Linked DNA regions of Schizosaccharomyces pombe. The gene in region 2 interacts genetically with the main gene of each other region. Each region holds a gene or a part of one and is shown on either strand. Other genes may lie near its edges.

The links. Genes that interact genetically often act in the same process or in processes that back each other up.
Region 1: mutations in ank1 (region 2) and toe4 together harm fitness less than expected from each alone (positive genetic interaction), as found in Schizosaccharomyces pombe (one large-scale study listed by BioGRID).

Annotation. Positions count from the first base shown.
Region 1 is NC_003424.3:118,517-122,273, reverse strand, and holds the start of toe4 (transcription factor), read left to right. Parts: upstream 1-2,040; 5' UTR 2,041-2,165; coding exon 2,166-3,757. Other genes in the region: SPOM_SPAC11D3.08C (amino-acid permease), read left to right, coding at 66-1,718.
Region 2 is NC_003424.3:1,743,444-1,747,200, forward strand, and holds ank1 (ankyrin repeat-containing protein), read right to left. Parts: upstream 2,195-3,757; 5' UTR 2,155-2,194; coding exon 2,130-2,154; intron 2,077-2,129; coding exon 1,792-2,076; intron 1,576-1,791; exon of another isoform or gene 1,508-1,575; coding exon 1,305-1,507; 3' UTR 576-1,304; downstream 1-575. Other genes in the region: potassium ion/proton antiporter Kha1, read right to left, coding at 1-58; dal81 (transcription factor), read right to left, coding at 3,475-3,757.

The DNA of each region.
Region 1 (3,757 bases), 1.6 Mb from region 2:
TTGCTAAGACCAATTTGCTTTGAGAGTTTTCTGCTTGTAAGGACGACTCACATTCAGCATTTACAATGAGTGACATCGACAAAGAAAGCTTAAAACAAAATCAGAAGCAATGGGAAAATGAAGTTGAGTTGGGCGAAAGCAGAGAAGCTAATCAAGATGATGAGCTTCTGATGAGCCTTGGTTACAAACCAGAATTCACTAGAGAATTCTCTTACGTTAGCATTTTTGGTCAATCGTTTGGATCAATGGGTCTTTGTCCGGCTATGGCGGGTTCACTCATTTTCTCGATGAACTGTGGAGGAGGAGGCATGGTTTGGTCATGGATTATTGGATGTATATGTCTGATTCCAGTAAGTATATCATTGGGCGAACTGGCGTCTTCTATGCCTACTTCTGGAGGTCTTTATTTTTGGATTTTTACCCTAGCATCACCATCGTCAAGAGCATTTCTCTGCTGGGTTTGTGGTTACGTGTCAGTGCTTGGCTACGCTACGATTTATGCTTCAACAGTGTACTCTGCATCATCTATGGTACAGGCACTAGCTGTGATAGGTAGTCCTTCTTATTCACCTACAAAATATGAACAGTACGGAATTTACGCAGCGTTGCTTTTCGTGATTTCTGCCATGACTGCAATTCCCTCTCGTGTTATCGCGAAGGTGAACATCATTAATATTACCTTCCAATTCCTTGTATCCATTATTCTTATTATTGCCCTTGCCGCAGGATCTGACTCTACTACTAGAAATTCTGGAAGTTTTATATTCGGTGATTTTACAAATTATTCTGGATGGTCAAACATGGGATGGGCATTTATACTTTCATTCACTACTCCTGTGTGGGTTGTAAGCGGATTCGAATCTAGCGCCGCTGTTGCTGAAGAATCAACGAATGCTGCCAAAGCAGCTCCCTTTGCTATGATTTCCAGTCTTGGTGTGGCTACCATTCTTGGATGGTGCATCGTTATCACCGTTGTAGCTACTATGGGTCACGATTTTAATGCCATTCTAGGTTCCTCTTTAGGCCAGCCTGTAGCTCAAGTACTGGTTAACAATGTTGGAAATAAGGGAGCTTTAGGAATTTTCTCTTTGCTGGTCATTGCCCTTTGTTTGAACTGCATTTCGTTACTGATTGCTGCATCTAGAGAAGTATTTGCTTTCTGCAGAGACGGCGGGATTCCAGGAAGTAGATACTTACGTCTTTTGACTAAACAGAAAGTTCCCTTAAATGCAATTCTTTTAGTGCTACTCTATAGCCTTTTAGTCGGTCTACTAATTTTGGTTAATGTCACTGCCATTTCTTCTGTGTTTAATTTAGCAATTATTGCTCTTTATATCGCTTATTCCGGCCCTCTTATGTGTCGATTTGTGTACAATAAATTTCAACCTGGTGTTTTCTACGTTGGAAAATGGAGCAAACCAGCAGCCTTATGGTCATTAGTTTGGATGTGGTTTATGATTCTTATGCTTTTGTTTCCTCAATATCAAAAGCCCAACCAAGATGAGATGAATTGGGCTATAGTGGTCCTTGGATTTGTAATGGTCTTTTGCGTGGTGTATTATTATTTGCCAAAGATTGGTGGTAAAACTTTTTTTACAGGTCCAATACCTACTGTTCAACAGGAGAACGAGTACATATCTGGTGTTCCACTAAATGAACTATCTTTAAGCAGTTTACCTTTGCCAAAAGATTTTGACCAGAAGCAAATCACAGAGTAATTTAACCTGAGTGTTATACTTTTCTTAACTCTTCTTTTTGGCAACAGCTACGCTGTTTCATTGTATTTTTACTGTGCTTTTATAATTGTATGTTTATTAACAGTTCTTTTTTATTCTTTTGTTCCTAGTCTTAGTTAAATAGCTTAATATTGTTTTAATGTCTTTTAATGAATTAGTGGCTCTGTTATCATTATCAGTAATATAAGATTATATAAAATTTTTTTTATCTTTCGAGTACGTATACTTATCGTCTTGTCCAGATTTTCTTATCATCACTTCCCTTATAACCTATACTTAAGCACGACTTGAGTAGTGCTAAAATAAATCTGCAGATGTATATGCTTTTTAACAGTAAACTGCACCAAAGGCGGTAATGCTTGCTTACAATTGATACGCATTCAGCTAGAATTTAAGATAGTTGTTTAATTACTCTTTTCTTAACATAAGATGTCTCAAAATAAAGCATGTGATCTTTGCAGGTTGAAGAAGATTAAATGTAGTCGAGGGCAACCAAGATGTCAGACTTGTACTCTTTTTCAAGCGGACTGTCATTATTCTAATCGTGCTCGCCGTAAGAGACTTGTTCAAAGAAGCAAGGAGACGTTTGGGGGAATTACGTTACCCGTGTTTGATTATGCCGCTGGTATTAACGGCAATGAGCCAGAACCGAGTGATCACTCAATTCCAAATCAAGAAAATTTTGCATTAACTACTAATGGAACTATTAGTAAAAACATTGAAAAACCCGAGGATGGTGAAGAATCCGTTCAGAGACGCCTTAAATTGCTTGAAGAAAAAATCGATTTGTTGTTAGATATAGCTACTGAAACTTCAGAATTTAAACGTGAAAATAAGGCTATTGAATTACCTTCCTTGGTTACACAAATTAAAGATGCAGAATCGATTGTTATTAAACACAGACAAGGTAGCCCTGTCGACAATACACCTACTCGGATACTGAATGTGGAAAGCTTGTTCCCTCCACAGTTGCCGGACTGGGAGAAGGCATTCCATGACATTCCCAAGAAGGAAGTAGCCCATGAGTTAGTCACGTCTTACTTTCAGCATGTAAATTGGTGGTGGCCTACCTTCGTATATAATGATTTTATGTATGAGTTCGAACGTCTTTATGCGTTCGGGTTCCATAGCAATAATGCTTGGCTAATTTCTTTTTATTCTATTTTAGCATTAAGCAGCATTAGGAAAAGACTTGGTAACTCAAAGACGCTTGCAGAGTCTTTGTTTTCAACAGCTTGGGTTTTTGTTCAAAAGTCCGACTTTTTTCTTACTCCGAGCATTGACAAAGTTCAGGCTTTAATTGTCATGACACAGTACGCAGCTTACCTGTCTAGCTCTTCTTTATGTCGGACTTTGTGCGGCCAAGCCTGCCTCATGGCCCAACAATTAAACTTACATAGAAAGCAATCCACTGATGTGGAGCCTGAAAAGGCTGAATCGTGGAAAAGGATATTTTGGATGTGTTATATTCTCGATAAAAATATTTCTTTGATTTTTGGAACCCCTTCCGTTTTTAACGACAAGGATATTGATTGTAATTTGCCTGATAGCAAATATGAGCTTTTGTTTGGTGTACAATCTGGTGGTGATTTGATATTTGTTCCTACCGTATCGTTGACAATAATTCAGAGTGAAATACGAAATCGACTATACAGCGTGAAGTCACCTACGCAAATGGCAGCGAGAGAAAAAATCATCATACCAATACATCAAAAATTGAAAGCGTGGGAAGAAAACCTTCCTTCTGAAATAAAAATGTATCATGAAATGTTGCTAAACAACACTTTTTCTCCCACTATATCGCTTAGCGATCGGTTCGAATTTTTAACTTTCGCAGGTATGGAAGTTTACTTTTCTTACTTAAACACTTTAATTATATTACACAGACCTAGCTCGTCGACAGAGAATCGAAGGATTTGTATTAATGCAGCCCGTGAAGCAGTTCAATTGTTAAAAAATAGACTCAACATTGATCTCAGGGTCAATGTTAAAGCAGATCCGCTATGGATATTCCTATACTG
Region 2 (3,757 bases):
GGTCCGATGCACTGTAGACAACGACATTATCGCCGTCAAATATGCTTTGCGTTGACATGCCTAACAGCGGATTAGTTGTTATATGAACAAACCGATTGATATTTGAAATATAGTCATTGATGCACCTACTGCTATATTCGATTATATGCGAGTTAAGATAACTTCAATCGACTTAAGTTTGCAATTTTTTATGAACCCTAACACACATTGCATATAGTAATGGCGAGGTGCTAGTTGCTTAGTGGTAAGTTTTTACAGCAATATACCCTCGTGTTTTTAGCGAATAAAAAATTGAGACTTATTAACATGCTATGAGTTTAATTTATTTTAGGTAATGTAAGTTGTGAGACACAAACGGAACCTTCAAATTTAAAAACTGACAAACACCGTCTTAGGGACGGCGAACTCGGGTACCAATTTTATAAGTGTAGCGGATTTACTAATAGAAAGCAGAAACCTATTGAATATTTTTTAATAAATGCAGTACTTTTTGATGAACCGTCATGGTTCCTTTCCTCTAATATGAGCGATTGTTAAAAGTACCCCACAAAACTTTCATATAAGATACTCGAAATTATTTAAACGTGTATAAATTTTATATTGCTTCTCTAAAAAATAAAAGAAAATTGAAAATATTAACATTAGCAGCATATCAGAAGAAACAAGAAAAAGTAATCTTTAGAATACGACACAAATCTGCAAGCAATTAAGGTATTACAGAAATCCATAAAAAATTCCAAATCCTAATTAATGCCAAATTTTCTAATACAGACTTGTTTATCGACACCCAAAAGAAAGTGTTACTTGTAACAACGATTTCGATTTTTTTCAATAAAGTATCGAGAAAAGCAGCATAATCGGAATGAATATGCTAACGTTTTAAAAAAACTATAGCATATTCATTGGATGAGGTTATAAAGGGCTAAAAGTTAACATACAGCCTACGGCCTGTGACGTTGTCAAAAGTTGCGCAGTGAAATTTTAAAGCCGCATTTAGGTATCTAAGGAGTAGAACACATCGTTCTCTGGAGCGTCTATGAAAGAATGAACAAACAACAAACATAATACTGGATTGCAGCTGAAAGGAAAGCTAAAGCGTCCAATGGAATTTCAATACACTGAGAAGCAGCCAAAATCATAACTTACAACTTTCGCAATTAAGGAGAAAGAAATCGAATAATCCCCAAGAATGACAAATATTTTATCGTTAATATAACCCACATCTCTTACAAAACGTGTATTTCTCAAAATCCAAACAGAAGAAGAACAACAGGGAAGCCGAATCAAGAATATCTAAAGGGGAACTATTCTTCATCCGACTCACCGGATCCTTCTTCTTCATCGTCATCGTCAGCAACGACATCTGCAGAATATTGAAGAGCAGGCGCAGGTCCTTCTAATGCAGAAGCAAAGACATCGTGAAAGTCTCCTGGAACAAGGTCAATTGGTCGAAAACCATCGTTGTTGGTAAGAAGCGGATCGGCACCAACCTCCATAAGCATCTCCACTATAATGAAACAATAGTTAGACAAATACACTCAACAAAGCAAACACTATAAACTATCCCGAAGCAAAATCGATGTTTGTGAAATAAGCGGAAGCAAAGTACAAAATTATGAGAAAGTAATATCAAAGAATTGTTTGAATTTTACATAATATAAGCGATCTTGCATACGTTGAATCATTCGTAAAACAACGTAGAAATACACAACTCGACTTTGACCATAACTTCCGAAAATAACAAAGAACACGAAAGCAATGATTAGCACTTCGGCTTGTAAATTCACTTACCCATACGTAAAGCAGTTTCCTGATCTTTTTTTATAAACATAACGGCAAAGTGTAAAGGTGTGTCCCCTGTCATACGACAGCGGTTATTCAAATTTACGCCAGATATATCTAAAAGCCAGTCAAGGCACTCTAGGGAACCATATTTTGTACAGACATGAACACAATCGTTTCCAAGTGAATCACGAGCATTATTGATGAAGCTCACTCCGTCTCCTTCCTGTTGGTGAACAACTTCCTCAAGCATGTCAACATTATTCGAGCGGCAAGCCGCAATTAACATTTCCGCTAAAAAATCGTTAGCAACTTGATACAGCCAATAAATCAAGCAGCGCTCTTACATGGCTTAGCTCCTTCAGTTGACATTCTCGTGACTATAGTGTATTATGTATTTGGTAAGTATGTTAGTTCTTCGGTCCGCTGAATGGATCTCTATATATAAGTGGGGGGCGTGGGGGACGGAAATGTTCGTCAGTTACGAATAAACAAAGCATATACTAAGAAACTGTTTAATCATTACTTCTCCAAATGGTATTGCAATTGATGAATTTAACAGTGGGTTTTCAAAATTTTGAGAACCTATGTTAACCTTTGCTTTGAGTTTATCAATGATTGCAATATGACCTAAATAAAGCAATGAATTAATAAAATTAGTACTTTAAGCACTTAAATTTATTTCTTTTATAACGAAAAACTGTCCTATAGTGACCAAACATTTAGTTCTCATATCCCGGATTATAACCGTTTGTATAACATATCTACGCATTCGACACAGCCAAAAGGCTTCTTCCTCTGAAAGAAAAATAAACAACATAAGTAAAATATATGCACAAAGCAATTGAACAGATGATCTTGGTACAAGTCAACTCTAATAATTTATACGGAATATTTGATAAGAAACTATAGAGTATGAAAAGATGAAAAAAACTGGTAAATAATTGTAATGAAGTAAAAATATGTAAGAATAAGCGTTTTCTGATGATCATTTTAAGAATATGGATTATTGTTATATACCTGTATTGCTTAGACTTCTAGTATCCACATCAAGAGTTTTCATATTTGTTCTTAAAAAATGGAATTCAAGCCTACTATTACTTTCATTCATCTTTTTAATAAACTTGTACGGATCTAATTATCATCATTATTTGAATCTACTCCGGCTAATTTAAGATACAAGATATTTAATTTTTCATATATTATATATATTCTATTAGACACCACTTCTCAACTAACTCCTGATGGTGTAGTTGGTTATCACACCCGGCTGTAATTTCGATGATACCGGTTGGTCGCTAGTTCGATTCTGGCTCAGGAGATCTTTTTTGCTTCCACCTGGTAAACTTTAAAATATAAATAAATATATGTTCAGATCTGATAAACCTTATTGTTGCAATCAATATCTCATTATAAAACGATAGGATGTTATCACTTCAATATTATCTTTCCATCCTTCGTGAATATTCCTAACTCACTTAAACTTTTCTATCAGATGTTTTTAATGAAGCCCTTTAATCAAATTAACAAGGATCCTAAACTACTTTATAAAATATAAGCAACTAGAGCTGACTAAAAAAATAATAATGTGTAGATATCCTTAATTAGGTAGGTATAGGCTCATAAGTATTCAATTAACAACTCTTAAAACCAAACAAAAAAAAAAGAATTAGAAAGGTCTAAACACTATCATTATGTCAGGGTTTCGTCCAAGTTACGCTTTCGATGTTCAAAGGTTTCTTGTAGAAGTTTGCCAATAAGTGGTCTACCTGAGCTTAATTCAATCAGCAACGCGTTTAATCGCTTATAAGCCATGAAAACCAAATCAAAATTTCGAAACTTCAGCCAGACACAATGCTTTGTGAAAGATGACAAAAGGCCAAAAGTCGTAGCATTAAAATTTTCATTAAACTCAAAGTCCAGATACATCTTAATGATTGCAGATGATAGGATACAAAAATAGAATTGGGAATAC